Linked DNA regions of Ovis aries. The protein of the gene in region 1 purifies or fractionates together with the protein of each later gene. This does not show direct contact. Links are inferred from orthologs where the notes say so. Each region holds a gene or a part of one and is shown in the gene's direction. Other genes may lie near its edges. The genes, in order: DIS3L, EXOSC1, EXOSC9, EXOSC8, EXOSC7, EXOSC2 and EXOSC4.

Evidence for each region.
Region 2: the proteins of DIS3L (region 1) and EXOSC1 purify together in Homo sapiens (affinity purification with mass spectrometry; 4 studies listed by BioGRID and IntAct, counting the BioPlex papers as one, with this or other methods). This does not show direct contact. The link is inferred for Ovis aries from reciprocal best matches to the Homo sapiens genes DIS3L and EXOSC1.
Region 3: the proteins of DIS3L (region 1) and EXOSC9 purify together in Homo sapiens (affinity purification with mass spectrometry; 3 studies listed by BioGRID and IntAct, with this or other methods). This does not show direct contact. The link is inferred for Ovis aries from reciprocal best matches to the Homo sapiens genes DIS3L and EXOSC9.
Region 4: the proteins of DIS3L (region 1) and EXOSC8 purify together in Homo sapiens (affinity purification with mass spectrometry; 4 studies listed by BioGRID and IntAct, counting the BioPlex papers as one, with this or other methods). This does not show direct contact. The link is inferred for Ovis aries from reciprocal best matches to the Homo sapiens genes DIS3L and EXOSC8.
Region 5: the proteins of DIS3L (region 1) and EXOSC7 purify together in Homo sapiens (affinity purification with mass spectrometry; 3 studies listed by BioGRID and IntAct, counting the BioPlex papers as one, with this or other methods). This does not show direct contact. The link is inferred for Ovis aries from reciprocal best matches to the Homo sapiens genes DIS3L and EXOSC7.
Region 6: the proteins of DIS3L (region 1) and EXOSC2 purify together in Homo sapiens (affinity purification with mass spectrometry; 5 studies listed by BioGRID and IntAct, with this or other methods). This does not show direct contact. The link is inferred for Ovis aries from reciprocal best matches to the Homo sapiens genes DIS3L and EXOSC2.
Region 7: the proteins of DIS3L (region 1) and EXOSC4 purify together in Homo sapiens (affinity purification with mass spectrometry; 5 studies listed by BioGRID and IntAct, with this or other methods). This does not show direct contact. The link is inferred for Ovis aries from reciprocal best matches to the Homo sapiens genes DIS3L and EXOSC4.

The regions. Positions count from the first base shown.
Region 1 is NC_056060.1:13,195,134-13,198,633, forward strand, and holds part of DIS3L (DIS3-like exonuclease 1), read left to right. Parts: coding exon 1-29; exon of another isoform or gene 30-989; intron 990-1,124; coding exon 1,125-1,286; intron 1,287-3,160; coding exon 3,161-3,408; intron 3,409-3,500. UniProt on the Homo sapiens protein: Catalytic component of the RNA exosome complex which has 3'->5' exoribonuclease activity and participates in a multitude of cellular RNA processing and degradation events.
Region 2 is NC_056075.1:18,489,760-18,493,778, reverse strand, and holds the start of EXOSC1 (exosome complex component CSL4), read left to right. Parts: upstream 1-1,219; 5' UTR 1,220-1,250; coding exon 1,251-1,281; intron 1,282-1,388; coding exon 1,389-1,504; intron 1,505-3,971; coding exon 3,972-4,019. UniProt on the Homo sapiens protein: Non-catalytic component of the RNA exosome complex which has 3'->5' exoribonuclease activity and participates in a multitude of cellular RNA processing and degradation events.
Region 3 is NC_056059.1:3,758,415-3,761,897, reverse strand, and holds the end of EXOSC9 (exosome complex component RRP45), read left to right. Parts: intron 1-581; coding exon 582-766; intron 767-2,432; coding exon 2,433-2,511; intron 2,512-2,835; coding exon 2,836-2,920; 3' UTR 2,921-2,983; downstream 2,984-3,483. UniProt on the Homo sapiens protein: Non-catalytic component of the RNA exosome complex which has 3'->5' exoribonuclease activity and participates in a multitude of cellular RNA processing and degradation events.
Region 4 is NC_056063.1:24,979,936-24,984,180, reverse strand, and holds the start of EXOSC8 (exosome complex component RRP43), read left to right. Parts: upstream 1-1,445; 5' UTR 1,446-1,470; coding exon 1,471-1,487; intron 1,488-2,781; coding exon 2,782-2,818; intron 2,819-3,050; coding exon 3,051-3,114; intron 3,115-4,099; coding exon 4,100-4,173; intron 4,174-4,245. Other genes in the region: ALG5 (dolichyl-phosphate beta-glucosyltransferase), read right to left, coding at 13-78. UniProt on the Homo sapiens protein: Non-catalytic component of the RNA exosome complex which has 3'->5' exoribonuclease activity and participates in a multitude of cellular RNA processing and degradation events.
Region 5 is NC_056072.1:54,150,486-54,152,785, reverse strand, and holds the end of EXOSC7 (exosome complex component RRP42), read left to right. Parts: exon of another isoform or gene 1-1,555; coding exon 1,556-1,660; 3' UTR 1,661-1,800; downstream 1,801-2,300. UniProt on the Homo sapiens protein: Non-catalytic component of the RNA exosome complex which has 3'->5' exoribonuclease activity and participates in a multitude of cellular RNA processing and degradation events.
Region 6 is NC_056056.1:5,926,555-5,930,054, reverse strand, and holds part of EXOSC2 (exosome complex component RRP4), read left to right. Parts: intron 1-503; coding exon 504-680; intron 681-1,079; coding exon 1,080-1,208; intron 1,209-1,714; coding exon 1,715-1,795; 3' UTR 1,796-3,500. UniProt on the Homo sapiens protein: Non-catalytic component of the RNA exosome complex which has 3'->5' exoribonuclease activity and participates in a multitude of cellular RNA processing and degradation events.
Region 7 is NC_056062.1:13,710,299-13,714,127, reverse strand, and holds EXOSC4 (exosome complex component RRP41), read left to right. Parts: upstream 1-1,438; 5' UTR 1,439-1,497; coding exon 1,498-1,668; exon of another isoform or gene 1,669-2,616; coding exon 2,617-2,823; exon of another isoform or gene 2,824-2,846; intron 2,847-2,920; coding exon 2,921-3,280; 3' UTR 3,281-3,329; downstream 3,330-3,829. UniProt on the Homo sapiens protein: Non-catalytic component of the RNA exosome complex which has 3'->5' exoribonuclease activity and participates in a multitude of cellular RNA processing and degradation events.

The DNA.
Region 1 (3,500 bases):
TCAGCACTCAACAAGCAGAAGCCCTCCAGGTACCTCCTCTCTTCGCCTCTGGTCTCTGCCAGCTTTCGAGCAGTAGCAGGAAACGCTGTTAACTTCTTTGCATAAGAAGGGGTAAATTATTGATGGCATGTGGCATTCCGAGATCCTGTTTTCTAAAAATTCTAAATATATAGAACCATCTATTAAGTAGTCCTTGGTTAATAAATGAAGGCCAGAGAGAAACTGTCCTAGAAAGAGCTGTGCAGGACAGCTGGAGAGAACATTCATTATCCAGCTGTCCAACACAGAAACTTCCAATAGATACACTTTGCCAACGCTAACAAGCTTTCTTCCAGCAAGTGATATAGAAATACGATTGCTCTGCCCTGTGGGGATGATATAGTGGTACTTCGCAGAATCGATTATCCATAAAGGAACGGAGCCCCGGAGAGAAGACGTAAACAAGAAAGTTAGAAATTAACCTTTACTGTGGCAAAGGGTGTAGGCATCACCCAAGTCTGATTTGCCCGATGTTCTGTAGTTTGTAAATGAGACGCTGAAGCAGGATGTCCCCAGCCTGTAACCTGTTCATCGTGTACCTTTCCATCCTGAAGCCTCACTCAGGCTCTCAGAGGCCAGGTGCAATAGCTGCTTTCTGTATCTGTGGCTTGCTGGAATGTGGGGCAGTGAGGTTCGGTTCACGCTGATAACCTTCTCCCCACCAAAAGATGTCTTAAGAAATTAGAAAGTAACTCCAAAACACACACAAATTGAAATTTTTTTGCTTTGAAATTTCATCTGGACTGGGCATAGTTGGGCTTTTCCCTTGGGCTGCCTATGTTAACTAGGATGTATCATAGGTGGCTCTGTTCCTCAGCTTTCCATCTCCAGCCCTCTTACTTGGTGCAGAGAGGTAATGCCTCCCTTCAAAGCACTGGGTTAAGCGTTTACCTACCATCTGGCAATTTAGTAAGACAGGAAGAACCCAATACAAGGAAAAAAAAAGAAAAGAAGATGGTTATTTGTATTACTAAATTGGCCACTCTCTGTGGAGCTCAATGCTCTTTATCCCTTGTTTGTTTGGTGTTGCTAATTGACCCACTTAACTCCTGACACTGGGTTTGTGTTTCCCCCTCTCTGTGCAGGACTTCAGGGTGGTCGTGCGCATCGACTCCTGGGAGTCGACATCCATGTACCCAAATGGACATTTCGTGCGTGTTCTAGGGAGAATCGGAGATCTGGAAGGGGAAATTGCAACCATCCTGGTGGAAAACAACATCTCAGTTGTCCCCTTCTCAGAAGCTCAGGTCAGCCTGGCCCCGGTCCTTTGGTCTGATAAAAGGCATTTTCTACTTTTTCGTTTGTTTGCCCTTGTTGTCCTGTTGGTAAGAAAGAAAAATTTTTGTACTGTGTAACAAACTGCTGTCTAAACCAGAGCTAATGGGAAAAGTTCATTCCTCTTTAACTCTGTGTTTGAATGAGATTGAAGTCAATGTCAAGTGCAGTTAGTTTCTTACAGCCTCATAGCTCTCAGATGTTTACATGTTTCCAACTGTGCTTACAAATGGTATGTCAGTAGCTTATAGTCAGTATGCATCCGTCCCCCGGAACTACATGGGCACCTAGTTGTCACAGACCCACTGGGCTCTGCTCCTTGTCTTGTTCATTCAACCAGAGGCCTGCAGAAAGCTGTGGGAAGCAGCTTCTTGGGTATACATCTCTGACCCATGGGTCAGAACAGTCATGCTCATTAAGAAATCATTTCTGTGTACGGAAAACAAAAATTATATGAACATAAAGCATCAGCTCTTTCCATCACATTATGATCTGTTAAAAATCCTCGTAAATCTTGTTTATTATTCTTGCATAGCTATATTCATAGTGCACACAGGCTATTTTTTGCTTCTTGCACTTAAAATTATTTCTATGTGCTGACATAGCCTACTTATTTTTAATAATGATGGCAAATTACTCTATATTGATGTACTCTAGTTTGCTTAAGCTTTCCTCAGTTGTGGAACATTTGGGATTTTTAATGTTTCAGTATTATAAAAGGTGCTACTTCAAATGTTTCATAAACATCACTTTTTTTTTTAATGTTTTGATCATTTTCTTTGGAATGTAAAATACTTAAAGTGAGATTACCAAGTCAAAGGGCATAAAAAAATTTAAATAGCTTTTGCTGTGAACTGGCAGGTTGTCCTCCAGAAAAACTGGGCCAGTTTGCATTGTCATTAAGAGCATATGAGTGTTCTTATTTTCATTATAATTTTTGACAGAATAGTAACTATAATAGTAAAAATACTTTAGAATATTTTACATTATTAAAATTTTATGTTTAACATTAGTATCTCGAAATCATTTGTTGACTTGTTTTGACAGCTTAGTGAAAATGTTGGAACAAAATAAAACATGAATTAGACTTCATAGGACTAGAATTCTTCCCTTTTAGCCTACTTAACTGCAAATTGATGGCTTGAATAGGTAATAATGCAGAAAAAAATGCCCAAGATTGATCCTGCTTTAAAAGGGGAATATGCTTTTAATATCTGGGACATGTTGATTTTTTTCAGGGCTTGACTTGAATTAAAAGCTCAAATATATTTAAACAAATGGATCATTTGAAAATGCGGTAGATATTGTACTTTTTATAAGCCACCCATTCATTCTTGCTCCAACCCTCACAACTTAAGAGACCGTAAATGCTCTGGAACATTTCCTGTAGAGCCTTCAAGGGCATGCAGATTGTGTCTTTCCTATTGAGTCCCGACTTTCCAGAACCTCACACGGCTCCTGACACCTATTAGGCACCTAATAAATAATTATTGCTCAAAAGAAACAAACATAGGTAGAAGGTAGTGAGTAATGAGGGGCTTCCCAGGTGGTACGAGTGGTAAAGAATCTGCCTGGCAATGCAGGAGACGTAAGAGACTCGGGTTCAATCCTTGGGTCGGGAAGATCCCCTGGAGGAGGAAATGGCAACCTACCCCAGTATTTTTGCCTGGAGAATCCCATGGGCAGAGGAGCCTGGTGGGCTACAGTCCATAGGGTCGCAAAGAGTCGGACACGCACACAATGAGTAATGAATGGGGTTTCTATGCGGTCACATGGAGAATGTTAGAGAGTTTTTATGGAAACTTCTGGTGCAGAATTGCTGAATCTTGGGCCTCTCCTTGTACAGATGTGTGAGATGCCAGTCAACACACCGGAAAATCCCTGGAAGGTAAATTCCCAAGAGGAACGAGAACGTAAAGACCTGAGGAAAACCCACCTGGTGTTCAGCATCGACCCCAGCGGCTGTGAAGATGTGGATGACACCCTGTCGGTCCGAGCCTTGGATAATGGCAACCTGGAGCTTGGAGTCCACATTGCAGATGTGACGTACTTTGTAGCACCACACTCTTACGTTGACATTGAAGCTAGGACAAGGTACCGCTTTTAGAAATCAGCACTAGGATTGTGTGTGTGTGTGACTATAACGTGCTCTGCAACTGTGCTAAGTCACTTCAGTCATGTCTGAC
Region 2 (4,019 bases), on another chromosome or scaffold:
GCAACTTTACTTTCACTTTTCACTTTCCTGCATGGGAGAAGGAAGCGGCAACCCACTCCAGTGTTCTTGCCTGGAGAATCCCAGGGACGCGGGAGCCTGCTAGGCTGCCGTCTATGGGGTCCCACAGAGTCAGACACGACTGAACCAACTTAGCAGCAGCAGCAGCATCACCCCCAACACAAGCCTTGAACACTCTGATCCCTCAGTCCTACCAACATAGTGACACGTGCCACCAGTTCAGAGGGGAGTGTAGGTCACAGCACTCTCCTCTCCCCAAGGCTCTCAGTCACCAACTCTTTCCCAAGGGGAAACTGGACATGGGGGCTATTAGGGGTGGGAGGACACACATAGATTCCAAAGACACCGAAGAGCAGAGGAAACAAAGTCGACATAACTCATTTGAACAAAGATGCTGTTTTCAGGGTGTTTACTGCCTGAAGCAGCAAGTGTCAATCATCAGTAAAAGCAACACTAATTCATGCAGACTTTCCTTCCAGACTAGCACGCTTCCGCAAGATTGGAGACTGCAGTTACAGAAACTGAGGAAACGTTTTATTTCTCAACAAAGAATGATAGACTGAAAGTAAAAAATAACTTGAGTACCCGTTCGGTCTCTATCTTGATTTTAGAGATACTGTACAATTCTAATCCTATCCCTGGGGATGAATTTCCAAATCTGTGAAATGGGCGAGTTGGCTGGGGTGACCTTCCAGCTCCACGCCTCAGGGCTGCCCGGAGGGTGTGTTCCGTCCGGTTCGAGGGCACGGCCGTGCAGAGCAGGAACTCGGGCTCACAAGGCCCGGGAACAGGGCCCGACCCTATTAAAAGCGACAGGACTGGGCAGAAAAGGCCGCAGCTTCGCTCTTACCTGCCGCTGGCCGATTCCTCAATCAGCCAAGTCGAACCCCGCAGCCTCCGCCGCAGCTCACTGCCACCCCCTCCAGCTCGGCGTCCACCGGCCCTGCTCAATCCAACCAACCATGGCCCACCGCCCACAGGTCCAGCCTGCAGACCCGGACCCACCGCCCGCCCATCCTTGTCCACAGGCGCAAGCGCGAGAGTTCCGAAGCCCCGCCCCCGAATTCGTCCCGATGCAACCTGGGAAATGGAGTTTACGTCTTCTGGAAGCGCTTCCGGAGATTACAGATAGAGCACACCAATTAGCGCGTTTCTTACTGCGTAACTGCACCTGGATATTGGCCAATGAGAGGTCGGCCTCATTTTCCTCGGGATTTGGAACAGTGGCAGTCATGGCGCCACCCGTGAGGTACTGCATCCCCGGTAAGTCAGCGGTATCTAGAGCAAATCGTGGGCAGAGACAGGGGCAAGAAGGCCAGACGACCAACAGCTTCAGCGGACCCGTGGCTGATGCAGCGTTTTTTCCGCAGGCGAACGTCTGTGTAACTTGGAGGAGGGCAGCCCGGGCAGCGGCACCTACACCCGGCACGGCTACATCTTTTCGTCGCTTGCTGGCTGCTTGACAAAGACCAGCGAGAACGGCGCGGTAAATGGGGCAGCTTCCCTTCTCTTCTGTCTCTTTGTCTTACGCTGCCTTTGATTTCACTGTCTTTAGGCAGGGTCCTACGAGCGCGTCTTTAGTGCCTGGTTTAGGAGAAGGAGTTAGTCTCTGAGTTTCTGACAGCTGGGATCCCCGCTGCTGGACACTTAGCCATCACAAATTAATTGTGTTGTCTGGCTTGGCTGTGTTGCTGACCCTCCGGGAAGCAAGCTGGGGAAAGAACGGAGGCGAGCTCAGCCGTGCTGTGAGCTGAATCCTGGCCGAATGTCGCCTGCTTCTCTGGCTTCATTTCGCTCCGCTACCCGCGCCTCACTCTTTGCAGAAGTCCTACTGTCTTTTTCAATATCGCCAGTGGACCACAGAGTCTTTGTACACACGCCGTCTGTCTGGAACACGCTCCTCTCTTCCTTAGCCCGATTAAATCCTACCTACTCAGCGGAAGAGAATCCACCACCATTGCAGGAGACGCGGGCTCGATCCCTGGGTCGGGAAGACCCAGGAGAAGGGAATGGCAACACATTTCAGTATTCTTGCCTGGAAAATCCCATGGACAGAGGAACCTGGCGGGTTACAGTTCATGGGGTCGCAAGAGTCGGACACGACTGAGCGACTAAACCACCACCACCCTTTAGATAACCTCACTAGTTATCACTTTCTCAGAGAAGCCCTATAGACACCACTAGTCAAAAAAGGGAGTTTTGTTTTTTGTTTGTTTTAACACTCACAAAGAACTGTTGGGGTCAGTTTGCCTGTTTGTTTTGCCAGGCAGCATGCAGGATCTTGGAAGGAACCCATCCCCCCTGCAGTGAAAGGTCAGAGTCTTAACCATGGGACCACCAGGGAGGTCCCAAGAGCTGTTACTCCCTTTCTAAGCACTTAGTTCAGCATGCAATTTAACACTCAGTTATAAGTTCCCCATTAGACCCTTCCACTACTATGCACGTAGCGCGAGGTAAATGCTCAGTAGATGTTTATTGAATGTATGAATAATATTATTCTCCCTGGTTCCAGAGGCTGATCCATTATTAGCTTGGGATCAGATAAGCAGTTCTTGGAGGAGCAGCTTAAAGACTGGAGGTGGTGGGGGGCATGGGTTTAGTCGCTAAGTCGTGTCTGACACTTGAGACCTCATGGACTGTAGCCCACCAGGCTCCTCTGTCTATAGGATTTTCCAGACAATAATACTGGAGTGGATTGCCATTTCCTGCTCCAGGGGATCTTCCCAACGCAGGAATTGAACCCAGGTCTCCTGCATTACAGGCAGATTCTTTACTGACTGAGCTATGAGGGAAGCCCAAATCTCTATACAGTCCGTGGAATTCTCCAGGCCAGAATACTGGAGTGGGTAGCCATTCCCTTCTCCAGGGGATCTTTCCAACCCAGGGATCGAACCCAGGTCTCTGACATTGCAGGCAGATTATTCTTTATCAGCTGAGCCACCAGGAACGCCCTAGAAACTGGGAGCATAGTAGAAAGAGGATTCAGTATTGACTAAACCTTAATTCTGCCTTAGGTAAGAAACTTTCACTCCCTTTATAGGTTCTTACCTATAAAATGAGAGACTTTTGTATTTGATCAATTTGGGGAATTTCCCTAGGATTTGAAAGTTTGTTCATTTTATAGCTGTGGGATGTGATAATGAGCCAAATATATGTGGTCTCTGCTATCAAGGGGTACAGATACAAACTAAGCAAATAAATGCTCAAATGAAGGTATACTTACACATATGATGGCTGCTCTGAAACAATATTACAGAGTACCATGAGAACATGTAATAGGTAAATCCAGCCTAGTCAGAAGTGATATTTAGTCTGAATCTAAAGGATAAATAAGAGTTGAGTGAGTGAGCAGAAAGAGCAGGTTGAAAAGAGATCCTGAGATGGGAAAAAATTTCGTGAATTGGTGAAACTGAAAAAAGACCAGGAGAGCTGAAGCATATTGAACAAGGGAAAGGTTAAGAAAAGATCGGGCTCAAAAATATCTTTCCTGCACCAATAGCCAGTACCATGCTCAAAGAGGAAACTCTACAAGTGTTAAATAGAAGTAAACAAGTATGGCCACTGTTATATAACATTTATTTGAAAATTCTAGCCTGTCCAATAAAATGACAAACCAAAAGAAAGATGTAACTTTGGAGGAAAGAGTTAAATTATCCATGATTACAGGCAATGTAGTTGTATGTGGAAAAACTCTTAAGAAAATCACAAAAAAACTCAGAACTCATCTGAAGTGGTAAGATTATATCTTCTTACACCTTTCTTTCTGTGGCCCCTTGGCCCTCCTGTATCCTAAAATTTCTAAGGCTTTCTGCTCTGGGCTACAAATGAATCTGTTGTCCACCTGCCCATGTGACGTCTACTGTGGCCCAAGGTTTCCCATTTTACTGTCAAGTCTCAAATACCTTTATCCAAGGCTTAGCCAGAATATTCATGTTTTATTTTTCTCTCTGCAGCTTCCTGTCATATCTGTGATGAGAGAAACGGAGTCCCAATTACTGCCA
Region 3 (3,483 bases), on another chromosome or scaffold:
TACTGGGTGATTTTTTTTTTTTTTTCCAGTAAAAACAAGATTTATAATACTTGTGGCATGATTAGGGCTGTGTGAAGTATGTGCATACTGAAATTTGTTTTCTGAAAACAGAAAAAAACATTTACAAGACAAGAGAGTGATGAAGTAAATTGATGGTGTAACATCTGCCTTCTCTTCAGCTTCTCTTCTCAGAAATCAGAAAAGTTTATACTTTAACAACTTTCAGTGTTTTATTTTCCTTTGGAAAAATTCTTGAATCTCAGTGACATAGTCAAGCCCTATATATACATCATTACATTGTTCTTAAAGTTGATTCATTCACCAAATTTATTACTACAACTGAAATGTTCCAAGCCAGTGTGTGTGTCTTGATATTTGTCACCCATTCTGTCCATAAAATCTTAACCTGAATTACATTTTTTCTTCATTGTTCAGCCATCCATAGTATAGCCGTTGATAATTTTTTTCCTAATAATTTGAGGTGAACTTCAGACTTAACAGAAGAGAACTTACATTCTAATTGTTTCAACACTGCATCAAATAGCAGTATATTTGTTACTCAGTTTTCTTAACTTGCCAAGTGTTTCTAAACCTGTGCTGTGGACTCCTGGGACCGCCCAAATTGGAGAGGGAATAGAAAACTCCTGGGGTCATCTTGAAGACTCTGAGAAGGAAGATGAGGATGAAGGTGGCAATGATGAAGCTGTCATCCTTGATGGTATAAAAATGGACGCAGGAGTAGACGTCTCTCATATTGGAAGCCAAGGTATGTGATACTTTATGGCTGTATGTAATGTGTGTATATATATACATATATATCTTAGAAATCTTGTTTTTATATTAGCAGTTACTTATTTAGAGGGACTAAATGTTAAATTTCAACTGTTGAGGCTAACTGCAATGTTAACTCCTAGTTCTAAGAATATACTTTGTAGAACAGTGGTATTCTTTGATATGTGAGGAGAGTGGCATAAAAGGTTTTTTTTTCTTTTGATTATATATCCAGGGCAGTTGTAAAAGGATAAGTATCTTAAACCTCATTCGTGCACGCTGTTTTTTCTTTGTATAGTTTTTAGTGCATGCTCAGTCACCAAGTTGCCTGACTCTTAACGACCCCACTGAGTGTAGCCTGCCAGGCTCTGTCTGTGGGATTTCCCAGGCAAGAATACTGGAGCAGGTTGCCATTTCCTCTTCCAGGCAGTCTTCCCATCCCAGGGATCAAACCCCCGTCTCCTGCATTGGCAGGCGGGTTCTTTACCACTGAATCAGCTGGGAAGCCTCAAATATAAAAAGGAAGTGTCATACATGTATTAGAATAGTGCTGTCCATACAACTTTCTGCAGTGTTAGAAATGTTCTGTCTACACTGGCCAGCATAGTAGCCTCTAGGCCAGTGCTGTTGAGCAGTGAAATGTGGCTTGTGTAACCCAATACTGAATTTTAATTGGTATAGTTAAGTTGCCACATGGGGCTACCATAACAGAGCTGTATGAGAACCCACAACATTCTACATGTGCATGAACAGTGGTAGTCCCAGATGTTCCTGGCATCCTGAAAGCAACTGAACTATAGAAATGGTTCTCACCTGTGGATATTTTAAGGAAAGTAAAATTCTATCATGAATTATTTATGTAGACATAAAGTAGGTTGGTAGAGACCTAAAGGACAGTTGCTAAATCTGGCTGAGAAAATAGTTGCTCATACCTGCCTACCTTTGAGGAAGATTATTACCTGTAAATATTACTAAGAACCTACTGGGGTTTTTTTTTTTAAGGCAAAAAAAAAAAAAAATTCCCCATTGTTTGGGACCCTTACTCAGCTTGATACTTTTTTTTTTTTAAACTATATATGCCTTTATATATATAGGTGGCCCACCTGCCAATGCAGGAGACCTAAGAGACACGGATTCGATCCCTGGGTGGGGAAGATCCCCTGGAGGAGGAAGTGGCAACCCACTCCAGTTTTTTTGCTTGGAGAATCCCAGGGGCAGAGGAGCCTACAAGTCCGTTAGGGTCGCAAAGAGTCGGACACAAGTGACACAACTTAGCACACACATACGAACAAAGGAAGAAATGGAAAACTCTTATGTGGATCGGAAATGGATTTGTAGGAAATGGATTCTTCATATACTGTTTTTTGGAATTTAAATTGACACAGTTTCTGGAGGAGTTTGGCAAAAATCTTTTAAAAAGCACAAGGAATTCAGTTGGCATACTGACTTGTTTCCAGATTAGTTCTATTAAAGATGCACTGTATCTACAAAATATATAGATTTACCCCCCTAACTTTTCTGTGAAAGCAGCACACATGGTTTTTCAGAGCTCCAATGAATAAACTCAGGGAAGAGAAGAACCAAACAGATCTGTAAGCCTCCAGCCAAAATGACTGGGCCTCTTCTATCTGAAATCTAATTCCTCTAACATTTTCTTAAAGATGCCCCTATAGTGCTCTCAGACAGTGAAGAAGAAGAAATGATCATTTTAGAACCAGATAAGAATCCAAAGAAAATAAGGTAACAAATTTCTCATTTATTTCAAATGTATACTCAAGACTCTTTAGAGGCTTGCTCTCTGGTTTATTGTCATCTTACCCTCTCAACAGACACCTTTTGCATTAGCAATCCAGATCTTTCTATGGTTTCTCTATACATCTGCATGGGTGCCTTTCAAGGTTACAGTATTCTTCTGCCATAGTTGGTAAATATCCAGCCTACTGGAAAAAGTAGTTTGGATCACCAAAGTAGGGGGCAGTGTAGGAAGTAAGGTTGGTAAAAACCATTTGTGGAATCAGCTCATAGTACTAATACTGTTGAAACGTTAATTTACTTTGTTCACAGAACACAGACCATCAGTGCAACACAAGTAAAAGCACCAAGTAAAAAGCCAGTGAAGAAAAGAAAAAAGAAGAGAGCGGCCAATTAAAGTTCACAAAGTTGTATATTTGTGTATATAACTATTAAAAAGGTATTTATTCAGTGCTAACAATCTTGAGTATTTTATTCACAAATCCATCATAAAATCTACTTCTTTATACAGTTTTTTACATTATGCTTTAAAATAAATGCCTGGAGAACTCTACAGGTTTTAAATAGCTGTCATTTTGGTAGGTCAAGTGTACTGAAAGTTGACGAATGAAGAAGTGTGTACACAGGCCTGACGGTCTCAGATTATTCCCAAGTCACAGCTGGCCCAGTTTCTTAAAGAAGTGAATGTCAGCACCTGTGTGTCGGAAGGAGAAGCCTTCCCAGTCCTGATGAATTTTTCTGAGTGAAATCCTGAAGTCAAATTTTTACTTCAAATTAAATTTGACTTACAAACCAAATTTTCCAAATCAATTTATTAATTATTATCCTGACAGCTGACATCATTAATACTTTAACAGAAACCACTTAAAATTAGCCAAATATCTAAGATAGTTACATTTACAAAAGATATACAAATTAAAACCATTTAAAAAGTAATAGATACCATAATTTGTACTGGAC
Region 4 (4,245 bases), on another chromosome or scaffold:
CCCTCTCCTCACCAGAATCAGGGCCGCGGCGGCCAGCGCCACGCCGAGCACCGCCAGCTGCAGCAAGACCGGAGCCATCCTCCATGCCGGGCCGCCAGCCGCCCTATCCCGCGTTTACACACACGCGGAAATGCGGCCGCGCAGCCCCGCCTCCAGCCCGCAGAGAGGCCATGCCAGCTGGGCGCCCGCCGCCCACAGCGCCACCTCGCGGCCAGACCCGGTCACGCCCGGGGACCCGCGCTGCCCACAGCGCCACCGCGTGACGAGACTATGTTGTGTGCGAGCGGCTCTGTTCAAACGCAGTAGGGTTGTCAAAATCAGCAAGGAGAAATAAACGGATGTCCACTTAAATTGAATTTCAGATAGCAACGGATCGGTTTTCAACAGCACTATTAAAGTATAACACACACTCAAAGTTCGCCCATTTAAGAGCTTTTTGTTATATTAACTTTGAAAAACTGATCAAATTTCCCATTTTAACCAGTTTATGTGTCTACTACAGGGACATTGACTGCACTCACAGCTTCCTGCAACCATCACTACCGCCTCTTGCTAAACCTTTCCCAGTTCTCCCCCAGCTTCTGGTAACAACTAACAACATGAACAATTTTGCGTGTACTCTTTGTTCACCTGACATTCAAATTGAATTGGATGTCCTGCGTTTTATCAGCAACCCTTTCTAGGAAGGAGGTGGAGTGGAGGTTTTGAGCCACGACACAGTCTACAACGAAAGTTGTTTCTTTGGAGCCCACTCTTGGCAGCTGCGTAATGTAACCTGATGTGGATAACCAGCGCACAGAATTTTTAAATTTTCGGTGCTCTAGCAGGAGGCTTTTACCTGGAAGAAGGCAAGCCCAGGGCTCAGCCTAAGGAGGAGGGGGAAAGAACGCGGAAACACTGGAATAATGCTCCACGCTCAACACTTGATTTTTTGCTATACCGTCGGTTTTCTCTGAAACTTTTGAATGGTGGGCTTCCTTGGTGGTTCAGCGATAAAGAATCCGCCTTCAATGCAGAAGACGCAGGAGACATGGGTTCCACTCCTGGTTTGGGAAGATCTTCGCAGTTTAGTATTCTTGCCTGGAGAATTCCAAGGACAGAAGAGGCTGGTGGGTTATAGTCCATCGGGTCGCGAAAAGTCTGATTCTACAGAAGAGACTAAGCACGCACGCTTGAACTATCAAACTGTTTCTAAACAAACACTCATAACTTTCGTAAAAGCCGATTCGCCAAAAACGTCAAGGTCAAGAAAACCTAAAGGGGCGACTGGCTAGGGGTGGTCGAAGCGAAGCCATGCGGGAAACCACCCTCACCTCTTCTACCTCTACTCTGGTCCATACAACCCTGCCTTCTACATATCAGGTAGCAGAATCAGTGTTGAAAGTGCTGAAGCGAAACAGCAGCGCGGGCCGGAGGGGTGGTGATACGCAGGCGCGGGCGCGGGCGCAGGCGCAGATCGGCGGGCGGAAGATGGCGGCTGGGTTCAAGTGAGTGCGGTAGGCTGGCGGGCGCGAGTTCGTAGCCTGGCGGTCGGCGGCTTCCCTACCCTTGGGATTTTCTCATCGGGAGGCCACCCCACCTGGTTCCCATTTGTTTCCACTGCAGAAGGAGACGTTGGGCGGGAGAACTGAAGGTGGTCGTAGTGAAGGGAAAGGGCGCATCTTCTCCCCAGTGATAGGAAGTACTGTGTTGAGCAGGTACCCGCTGCGAGCGCTAGGCTTTGTGTGTAGTGGACTTTGCTGCACAGGAGAGACACTTGTAATCTTGTAGAAAGCGTTGCTTCAAAACCTCAGGGCGCCCTGCTTTCTCTGCCCAGTAGTTTATGTGTAAAAGCATTCTGCCTCGTTAGAAAGGTTTTCCTTAAGCGTTTTCGGTGCTGCTCTCTGGGGAAGGCTATAGCTTTTCGTTCTGAGTCGAGTTTTAAATGGATGCAATAAATAGGATTCCAAAGGAAACCAGTTATATTGAAACGACCATGTATTTGTATAAACTCCGGGTTTTTGACACAGTGAAATATCTGTTTTGAAATTAACTTTCTTAGATAAGGCCTAGTGGGAAGTCTAAAGTAACTCCTGAAATTCGAAGTAACGATACGTCTTACACTTACCATAAAGTCAGGTCGCTCAGTCGTGTCCGACTCTTTGCGGGTCCCATGGACTGTAGCCTGTCAGGCTCCTCCATCCATGGGATTTTCCAGGCAAGAGCGCTGGAGTGGATTGCCATTTCCTTCTCCAGGGGATCTTCCCGACCCAGGAATCGAACCTGGGTCTCCCGCATTGCGGGCATACGCTTTACCGACCTTAGGCAACTATAAAGTAAAAACGAAAACATCTTAATCTGTGGTTGTTAAAGTCGCAGGTACGGCTAATATTATAGTGGTTTATTGCCTATGCTTGTAATCGAAGAATATGCTAAATTTAAGTCGGGGTAGTGAAAATAAATGCGTAATTTTTTTTTTTTTCCTACTAACGAAGTATTCCTGCTTCAAAGTATGAGTGATGCACACCTGGATTCATTCTCTTTTTAAAGAGGCCTAGGGTTTTGGTCTCGATCCTTATACTTGTTTAAAGCAGAATTAAAATCAGTCTTCGAGTGTGATTGTTATTGCAAAAGTAGCTACTTTTTATAATTAGCAACATGTGGCAACATAAACTAGAATTCATAACAGAAACTTAGTTACAAATTTTGGAGATTTCTGCTCCATCACCCCACTATTAAGATTGTTGTGTTTCTGGATTTATATTGATTTATAATTTATCTCATTTTTCTCATGTCTTTCAGAACTGTGGAACCTCTGGAGTATTACAGGAGATTTCTGGTAAGTAAAGGTGATTATGTGATGCCCTTTGATAATGGTATCATATGCTTTTTTCATAAATACAAGTATTAATCATGTTATTCACCTAATGTTCTAAGTATACTTCAGTTTTTAAAAGACAATTTTAAAGTAATACAGATTAATTTATTTGAATTAATGAGGTTCAGTGTGTTTTCCTTGGTCTGTGTAAGATATACATGTAGCTGTAATCTACTTTCATATATTTACTTAGAAAGAGAATTGCCGTCCCGATGGCAGAGAACTTGGTGAATTCAGAACCACAACTGTCAACGTAGGTGAGAGTACTTTGAGTTCTAAAAGAATGTTGAAGTTGCTTCAGTTCTGAAAATAGAATTTTTTTTCTTAATAGCAACTTTTTATTTGTAGAGTTTTTTTTAACTCACTCTCCTCTCATTAGTGGGCTTCCCAAATGTCTTGGTGCATCAAGAATCTACCTGCAATGCAGGAGACAGGTTTGATCCTTGGGTGGGGAAGATCTCCAGGGGAAGGAAATAGCAACCCACTGCAGTATTCTTGCCTGGAAAATCCCATAGACAGAGGAACCTGGCAGGCTACAGTTCATGGGGTCACAAAAGAGTCACATACGACTGAGCAGCTAAGCACATCCTTTCAGTTTTTATGTTCATATTAAATTTTAAAGTAACTCTGAAGTGTTTTCCCCCTTCAAAACTTGTAAGGTTTGGTTTCCTTCTATATCTTACATTATTAAATCTTCTGTTGCCAAACATGGAATTTTCCAATTTTACCCATATGACATTCCCAGGTTTTAGCCTCTGAGCCATTTAAACGGTGTTTTAGACAAATTCTACCAGGTCTAAGGGATTACAGTGATTTTTGTCAAGAAATTTTAATAACAGCCCTGTGATTAAATGACAAATGATTCACTCAAAATCAAGAAAATGAATAATTCCTAAAACAATTCGGTTGACCCTTGAACAGTGAGGGGGTTAGGAGCACTGACCTTCACAGAGTTGAAAATCCAAGTATAATCTTACCGTTATGGATTGGCACTCCGTATCCAAGGTTCAGCATCCTTAGATTCAACCAACTGTGGATCACGTAGTACTGTGGAAGTATGTATTGAAAATAATCTTTGTATAAGTGGACCTGTATAGTTCAAGCCCATGTTGTTTAAGGGTCAACTATAATTTTACCAAGACTCAAGCAAGGAGTAAATTTTCACGGACATCTTAGATATTTAGAGATAAAAATCATACATAAAAGAAGAAAACATTTTCATTTTAAAAAAATACTTTTCAGGTTCGATTGGTACCGCAGATGGTTCTTCTTTAGTGAAGCTTGGAAATACTACAGTAATTTGTGGAATTAAAGCGGTAGGTTTAATATACTTACTACCAAGATTTGAGTTACTAAGTTAGCTTCATATACTTAGTAGATTATAATAT
Region 5 (2,300 bases), on another chromosome or scaffold:
ATTCCGTGTGGGCCTGGAAGCGTGTAAATGGAGATGAAGAGGGATGGGGGAAAGCCCCCCACGGCCTCTGGGTGGGTTGCTCCCCTCGGTGCCCCCAGGCCTGGCAGCAGCACTCGGGCGCTTTCCAGCTGCTCCTGAACTGACTGGTTGGCACTCCCATCCCCTCCACTCCTGATAAAGCTTAGACACTCAGCTGGTTGTGTGTCTGCCGCCCCGGCCACTATAACCTCTCCTGCAAATCCAGGTCCAGATCTCGCAAGCCCTGGTGGCCTGTTTGTCTCATTTCCTATTCTCTCCCTGTCTTCATTCCTATGAATAATCAGTTTCCCTAGTCAGTGTCCCCTACTTGGACATTTTTTCCTTTTCTTAATGTTGCGATAGAAATCTTTCCAAAGTCACTTTGGACCTTAATCCTGATTTCGCATTTCATAGACTCAATCCCTTCCTGGTCTTTAGACTAAGCTCTTCTCTTCATGAGTTTTCGTGATATGGGGGTCTCATCCCTTGTTATAGTCCGGGGTCGGGAAAAGCCACACAGCCCTGGGGAGAGTCCACCGATGACTAGGAGGACTGGGGTGGGGCCAGGGCCTGGGTGTCTTTCTCCCTGACATTGTCGGGGATGGAACCAGTAGCACAAGTGAACTAAAGCTGGTATGAGACCATGGAAGGCTTGGAGAGGAAACTTGTAGTCGGTTCATAATGTTCTTGAAATGATTCATGTGACCCAAAAACAGTTGCATGAAGAAAGATTTTTATATAGTTGGGATTTTTTTGTCAAAGCCCCCTTCTGTCAGCTGTGTAGGGGGCTAATTAGGAAATCTATGGCGTTGTCTGACCTCGTGACATGCCTTGATCCCAGTAACGTATGCTTTTAGCATCTCTGCATGGCAGTAACATCAAAGACTCTATTCAGGTATTGACTTTGGTCCTATCTGAGCAGGTCTCCTTTGGTGGCAGGCAGATTAGACACTGCTTGTTAAAAAGGGTTCCCAGCACCATCTGTTCCTTCATCAGACAGATTCTGGATTCCCCGTGGTCTCCCCATGCCTTCTCTCTGCAACGCAGTGGCTGTAGCCAGGTTCTGACGGGGCTGACTGTTCTGCTGCTTCCAGTGGCAGCAGCTAAGGACCGAGGCCGCTTTTGTTCCTTTCTGCTTGCTGCTTGGGGGCTGCCTTCTTCTTTTTCCCCTTTCTCAGAATAGAGGCTTTCCCAGAAGGTTAACTACTGTGGTGTCGGGGTTTGGAGGGTTGGGTTTTTTTTTGGCAGCACCTGGTCTTAGTTGCAGCATGCAGGATCTTTAGTGGTGGCATGTGGGATCTATAGTTCCCTGTCCAGGGATCGAACTCGAGCCCCCTGCATTGGGATTGCAGAGTCTCAGCCTCTGGACCACCAGGAACTCCCTGGGGTTTTTATGTTGAATGAAAGTCCTGTAAGGCCGATGGCATGTGTGCGGCTTTGGAATGGCTGGTTGGCAGGGACGCTTCTCTCAGTCAGAGTACGTGTGCCTCACGGGCGGGCGTGTGCCCTCTTCTGTCTGCCCTTCTCCGTCCTGCAGACTGGCAAGCGCGTGGGCAAGGTGCTGCATGCCTCCCTGCAGAGCATTCTACACAAGGAGGAGAGCCTGGGGCCCAAGAGACAGAAAGTCGGATTCCTGGGCTGATGTGCACAGCAGCCTCCAACTGCCGAATGTTTGTCTTCTCCTTTTCCCTGGAAGCTGAAGTTTGTATACATTGTTTTCTTAACTGCTGTGAATTTAAGGCAACATTTGTACATGTGAAATTAAAGTCTATTTTCTGGTCTCGTGTGTGGTATGGCTTGACTTCTTCAGCTGTACGCCAGGATGCCATTTGTGGCTCCACCACAACTGACCCTTCTCTAGGAAATGACAACTAAGTCCAGAGACCTGCTCCAGTGGAGGACTCTGGTCCCAGGCCTCTCCAGGGAGACTTGTCTCCTGCTGCAGGAAATCAGAACAACAAACACACACACTAAAATAAGACCTACCAGAAAAATAGTTCAAAGGAACTGCTTATGATATCAGAGTCAGTTCAGTCGCTGAGTCATATCTGACTCTTTGCAACCCCACGAACTGCAGCACACCAGGCCTCCCTGTCCATCACCAACTCCCAGAGTTCACCCAAACCCACACCCATTGAGTCAGTGATGCCATCCAACCATCTCATCCTCTGTCGTCCCCTTCTCCTCCTGCCCTCAATCTTTCCCAGCATCAGGGTCTTTTCAAATGAGTCAGCTCTTTGCATCAGGTGGCCAAAGTATTGGAGTTTCAGCTTCAACATCAG
Region 6 (3,500 bases), on another chromosome or scaffold:
CTGTGCTGACCTTTGTGGGCCCGAGGCCTGTAGCAGACGCGCCATCTGCGGGATGTGGGCCTTGAGCTCACCTGCCAGGACCGGGGATGTATTTGTGCCCAGCCCTAGGCCAGTCCCCTTCTCCAGTGGCATGTCTTGTGGGCAGGCCAGGCGGTTGGGGTCAAGGGGAACAGGGCAGTGCTCCTTGGCCCTCAAGAGGCTCAAGCCCGCATCTTCATTGGCTCCACCTTCTCTCAGCCGTCACACCAGCCCTGGATCAGAGCATGATGACGCTTGCAAAGGAGAATAAATGGTGGAGGAGAGTGTGAGAGTCGCCTTCTGTTGGGTGTGTAAGTGACACCTGCCTCCGGAAGGTGTCTCTCTCTACTGTGCATGCGCGTTCATGCCAGTTATCACCAGCAAGGACCCCGATTCCAGCCTCCCTAGGACACAGTCTGTACTCTGCTTCATAGTCGCCTCACTGGTGATCCTAGTGACTTAATGTACAATATATTTTTTTTTAGCTAGGTCAGGGCGTTTTGGTTCAGGTCTCCCCCTCCCTGGTGAAACGGCAGAAGACCCACTTCCATGACCTGCCGTGCGGTGCCTCAGTGATCCTGGGCAACAACGGCTTCATCTGGGTCTACCCAACCCCCGAGCACAAAGAAGACGACGCAGGGGGTTTCATCGCAAACCTGGAGGTGAGCACACGCCGCCCGCCGTTGCCCTGTTGGATGCAGAGGCACTGAGTGGGTACTGTGCTTCTGCGGCAGGTGGGGGCGCTCCCCGTCTCTCCCTGCTGCGTGGCTGTAGTTTGAGCTGGTTTGCATTTCCACTGAAGTCTGCTCAAAACATCGTGCTGCCCTCTCTTGTTCTGGAGAGATGAAATCAGTGACTTTGATCTCTGCTGGCCCAGATGGCAGTTGCAGGGTAACAGCCAAAAAGCCACTGGGGAGCCATCCTTTTTCATCTTCCCTGGAGTCAGCAGTTTGCTTGGTTTGGAGTCCCAGAGTGATCCCGCCTCAGTTGTACGTGGTTCCTGTGATCTGCTGTAACCATTCACTCATTCTGGTCTTGATTCTGTTTGCCTCCCCTGCTAGCCGGTCTCCCTCGCCGATCGAGAGGTGATCTCCCGGCTCCGGAACTGCATCGTCTCACTGGCAACTCAGAGGATGATGCTCTATGATACCAGCATCCTGTACTGCTATGAAGCATCCCTTCCGCATCAGGTATGCCACCTAGGGCTCCCCTTCTCGCTGTTGTGTGAGCAGGCGTGCCGTGTCATCCGCTCCGTGGCCCCCCACGTCCCTTCACCATGCCCACCAATATGAACTCACCTGGTGGACTCCCTTGTTGGCTGGTAGAGCTTTCCCCGAGATGCTAATAATATTCTCAATGTCTGATATCCATGTGAGGGTTTGTGGGCAGTTGGAGGTGCCAGGTGGGGCTGGTTTATGACAGCGACCCCCTGGACTTCATCTTGGCCATCCCAGTTTTAGCTGCCTTTCTAGGGAATGCTGGAGTAATAGCATTGTTGTTCTTGTTAGCTATATCCCAGAGAACCTTGCTGATTTGTTAAGCTAGTTCTAGCAGATCCTTCCTTGCAATATGTAGCCTCTGATAAACGAAAGGAAAATGGAAGGCTCGTGTTAGCCAGGCTTGGTTTCTACATTTGGGTTGGCTTGATGGTGTGCTTACTGACTGAACAAATTACCTTTTGTCTTTTCTTTTTCAGATCAAAGACATCTTAAAGCCAGAAATAATGGAGGAAATTGTGATGGAAACACGCCAGAGGCTTTTGGAACAGGAGGGGTAAGAAGAAGCATCTCAAGGCCAGGACTGTGTGGACCCAAGCAGAGCAGTCCTTGAAAGTGGAGAATCTGATTGGCAGTCCCTGCATGCAGCTCAGTGAAGAACCGGGAAATTCATCACTGGACCTACATCAGGCTGCCTCTACCTTGAAGACCTGCTTTCTCCTGTTTTAAGGCAAAGCGAGGGGGAATGTGATTACTGCTGCCAACCCCTTGAGTTGCCCACAGACTTCGGGTGCTATGGGTAGTTTCAGACCCTTAAAAGCATTCCGAGTTCCAGCCGAATAGACTCCTATCCTGGAATCATACGGGGAATCTTTTGTCTTGTAGTCACTGTCAACTCACCAGGCACAGTGCCCCATGAAATTGCCCCTATATAAAACATAGCCTCCCTGATCCCCCCAGTTGTCAGTTTTGGCCTCCATTCTCACCTCCTCTGCATCTCGAGAATGACACTGAAGACTGTAGCTTGGTAAAATGAGCCCAAGAGTCAGTGGAAGGACACAGCGACCGGGGAGCCTTTTGCTTGGTTGGTTCTCATTTCCTGTTACATGTTCCTCCTAGTGACAGATGTAAGTACATCCCCGCCAGGCTGCCTTAATCTGTTCTGCCTTTGAGGATGATCTGTAAGAAGCTGAATAATTGAGAGAGAGAATGAATGTTTTGGGTGCTCTGATAAACGTGAAAACAAAGTAAAAAAGTGGAGATGGAAAAAGAAAAGGTTTTCCTCCTATAACTGAAGCAGCAATGCATTTGATTTTGAATAATTCAGGGTTGAAAGGTAAAAACTAGATACTGAAGTTCTGTGTAACTGAGAATGGCTAGAATTCCTGTGTATTTTTCAAATGACTTTCTAAACATGGTGCCCTGATTTGGGTTTGGGGTAAACAGTTCTTTTAAAGTCAGTATATGAGAGTGCTATTTGGTGAGCTGTTTGGTTTTTTTTTTTTTAATTTATGTATGTGGCATCACTGTTTCTGTTCTTGTATTCTGTGTAATACTTGGGAGTTAAATACAGGTGAAGGATGACTTGGGAGACAGAAATTCTTCTGACAGAGGCCCTTAAATTTAAACCCAGAACACCTAGTACAATTTAACCCTAGGACAGTTTCAGTAGTGATTTGGAGCATATGACAGTTTTGAAACATAGCTCAGCTCTTTTTTGTTAAATTGTACGTCTTTATAATATTCAGTCTGTCTCCTGTTTTGAGGAGTTTGCAGTCAACTGAGTGTTGCCCAGGCTATGTTGCAAATGTAGGTTTGCTCCCTGTTTTTGAGATCATGTTCTAGGTTGTATGTCCCTGAAGGGAAGGGAATGGGGAAGGAGGGGAGCCTGCATGCCTGGTTTGGGTTGGTTTTGATCAGGGCTATAAGTGGGTTTGTTGAATGTTTGCCCTTCTCACTTGGTCTGCCAAGCTGCCAGCCTGTAATGTTCACTCAGTATATCCTGAATAGTGATTACCTACTAAGTGGTACTTTTCTTGTGGCCCACTAGAGGGTGCCCTTGTTAAGCATAATTTCAGTAAGTTTTTTTGTTTTTTTTTTTAAATAAAGCTGAAGTTTTTACACCGGTTCTGAATTCCTCTAGCACTGTGTAGGTTGCTTTGCTTTATAAGCGTGAGCACAAAATTAGGCTGAACTACGTCATTCTTAGTGGAATATATGAGCTTAAAGGGATTTATTCAAATTTGGCAACATTTATTTACTTCT
Region 7 (3,829 bases), on another chromosome or scaffold:
TCCTTCCCTATTCAAACCTGAAGCATGGGATCTGGTTTCTAAGCACTGCAGAGGGGCTGAATAATGCCCTAAAGTTGTGTCTGACTCTTACAACCCCATGGGCTATAGCCCGCCAGTCTCCTCTGTCCATAAGATTCTCCAAGCAAGAAGACTGGAGTGGGTTGCCATTTCCTTCTCCAGGGGATCTTCCCAACCCAGGTCTCCTCCACTGCAGGTAGATTCTTTACCAGCCGAGCCACCAGAGAAGCCCGAATAATGCAAATGAGGAGGGTAATGAGCTCCCTGATGGTGACCTTGACCACCAAGCAAATGGTATCTGGAAACAGGAGGCAGCTGTGGAGGAAAACATCTCATCCCCCCTCCTGTGAGCCCCTCTGCTGTTCCAGGGCATTTGACATCAGGCCACGAAATGCAAGAGGAATGGCAGTAACCCTCTGAAGAGGGAAGGATTATGTAAAAAACTTTTAACATTTATTCCAGGTGGGAAAGGACGGAGAATCTAACTCCCACACAGCCTTCACTCAACCCCGGGACACACATCCACTGCCCACAATGGGGTGGTTGCTGGGTACATTCTACTTATTACTTGATACTCGTATCAACCAAAAAACTATGAGTTCCACAGGATTACTTGGACAGATTTTATATTTTTGAGTTAAATGCAAAAGTGTATGAAACAATCGCATTTTAAAAAATAAGAGTTCCAAAGGCCACTATATGGCTGTACATGTACAGCTGCATATACACGTGTCTGTGTGTGACCTGGATGTAATTATGAGTGTGAAGAAAAACGGAGCCATTTTTTAAGCTATAGTAGATAGGGGGATGAGTGCAGAGAAACAAGGCAACATGGAAAATTGAAACTAAAAAATTTGACCATGTGTACGTACAACATAAATGTGTCTGCTTTTTAAACGGACAAATGTAAAAACTAAACGGTTTAAAGAAAAAAAAAAAACAACTGCGAACAGAGAGTGTATCTCAGCTTGGGAGAAGGCCTGCATTTATGACCGCGGAAGAACTTAAGACCAGCAGTGGCGGCTATCGCCCGCAAACCTCGAGGGAGATACCAAGCGTCAAGCAGAAGTAAAGGAGCGCCAGCGGCGCGGGAAGCGCGGGGCTCAGTGGAGAGGCCGAGGGAGAGGCGGCGGCGCGGGGCGGGCAGGCCCGGATGGTAGAGGGAGCCGTCCCCATGACCAACCCGGGAAGAAACGACACGGCGACTCCACGTCCGGCATGCCTCCAGCCCTGCAGGCGCGAGTGCGTACCCCAAAAGGCCGCAAGGGTCCCTCCCCGGGCCCACAGCCGCAGTTCCGCAAGGACCGGAAATGAGATGTGGTGCCCTCGGGAACTCTGGGAGAATCGCAGGGGTCCGGAACCGGAAGTCGGAGTCGGTGCCCCGGAAACCGTAGTCCTGGGGAATCGGAAGTGGGGAGTCAATTCTACCGGGAAGTGTAGTTCTGCCGGGCGCTCAAGCCTGGCTAGCGCCCGGGCGGCATGGCTGGGCTGGAGCTCCTATCGGACCAGGGCTACCGAGTGGACGGGCGGCGCGCTGGGGAGCTGCGCAAGATCCAGGCGCGGATGGGTGTATTCGCGCAGGCCGACGGTTCGGCCTACATCGAACAGGGCAATACCAAGGCGCTGGCGGTGGTCTACGGGCCTCACGAGGCGAGTGGGCGCGCGCGAGCCGGGCTTCCTCCGGGGGTGGCCACTACGGGCTGTGAGGGGCTACCTGGCTGAGTAGAGGCCTCGGGGGTGAGGCTGGCGCGCGCCGCCTTGTGGGGCCGCGGCCAAAGTCCTAACAGTGTCTTGCACGACGGTCCCTGCCTTTCTCCAGCGCTCGCTACACCGCTTTGTTACTCCTAAAACCGCCAGGGCCGCTCTCACTGGCTCCCTCACCTCTCAGCTCCACTCCGACGTCACCTCTGGGTGACACCTCACCCCATCCCACCCCAGACCACCTTACCTACCCTTTACAAGTCAAGTTCCCTCCTTTACATCCACACACTTATCTGGTTTCCCGCACCCGCCTCCTCAGACATCAGTTTAACTTATTTCTCACTGTTTGTCTCCTCACTGGAACATAAACTCCGTGAAGACAGAGAGTGTTAATAAAACCGCTTGGGTTTATCACCACTCCAGCGCTGGAGACTTAAGGCCAGAGAGGTAGAAGTAAGCATGGCACTCTTGCAGAGCAGAAAGACTGGTGATGGGGAAGAGGGTGGTAATTCCAAATGAGACTGAGGGATTTCTAGGGAAGCAGGAACCCAGGACCTTTGTAAACAGGGAAAAGATTTAGGATTTTTATCTCACGCGTGATGGGAACTCTTTATAAGGTAAGCAGTATATGTATTGTGCAGAGGAGGTAGAATCAGACTTGATATATGTAAACAGATTCTCATACAAAGGAAGCATGGGGTCGAGAGAGGACGAGTCAAGAGGGGAAACAGGGAGGCCTGTCAGGAGAGAGATCCAGGGACGATGGTGGCTTAGAGCCTGGCCCAATGGCCCTCCCTCGGGCTGTGTTGTTTTGCAGGTAAAGTGGTTGCTTGTTGGGATGTTGGAGGTAGAGGGAGGAAGGGCCTGGCTCATGTGTTCTCCCCCACCCTACCCCAGATCAGAGGCTCCCGGGCACGAGCCCTGCCTGACCGGGCCCTGGTGAACTGTCAGTACAGTTCTGCAACCTTCAGCACAGGGGAGCGCAAGCGGCGGCCACACGGGGACCGCAAGTCCTGTGAGATGGGTCTGCACCTGCGTCAGACCTTCGAGGCAGCCATCCTTACACAGCTGCACCCACGCTCCCAGATTGACATCTATGTGCAGGTGAGCAGGCAGCAGCCCTCAGCCTGTGGAGGGGAGAGAGAAAGGAGGAGTTGGGGTTCAGCAGCTTGAAACTCATGCCACTGGGGGGTTCCTGCAGGTGCTGCAGGCAGACGGCGGGACCTACGCAGCTTGTGTGAATGCAGCCACGCTGGCAGTGTTGGACGCGGGGATACCCATGCGGGACTTTGTGTGTGCCTGCTCAGCTGGCTTTGTGGATGGAACAGCTTTGGCAGACCTCAGCCATGTGGAGGAAGCAGCTGGGGGCCCCCAGCTGGCCCTGGCCTTGCTACCAGCCTCAGGCCAGATTGCACTGCTTGAGATGGATGCCAGACTGCATGAGGACCACCTGGAGCAAGTGCTAGAGGCCGCTGCCCGGGCTTCCCGGGATGTACATACCGTACTGGACCGTGTGGTCCGGCAGCATGTACAAGAGGCCTCTGTCTTGCTGGGGGACTGAGCACAGGGCCACCCAAGCCCAGAATAAAACCTAAGCACCTTTCACTGTACTTTTATCTCTTCCCCACCGCACTTCCTTGCCCTTGGATCCTGGCCTGGTGCTGGCTCTAGCAATGACTAAGGGTCCGCCCCCAAGACATGCACTACACACCCCTTGCAGCCTCAGTGCTGCTCACCCTGCTCATCAGGGTGCTTCAGGTGAGCACCCTGAAGAAGGCGGATGTCCCTGGATGAAGTGAGCAGCCTGGGCCAAGAAGGGATTGCTGGGCAGTGAGACACAGCCTGGTATAACGAGCCATGCCCCACGACCATGGAGTCTGTCATTCTCATCCCAACACATCCAGAGTCCTGAGCACAAGTCCTGAGGGGTGGCTTTGGGTATTCACTATGGTCATGTGGGGGCCGTGTCCCACATCCTCTGGATTGTGGCTGGGACTGAAGGGTCTCTTGCCCTCTAGAAGCCTTTTGGGCCTGTCCTGCTACTTCCCTTGGGCTCCAAAAGTACAACAGACACATAATGTCACCTGGCGTCTTCTCAGTCCTGACCCTA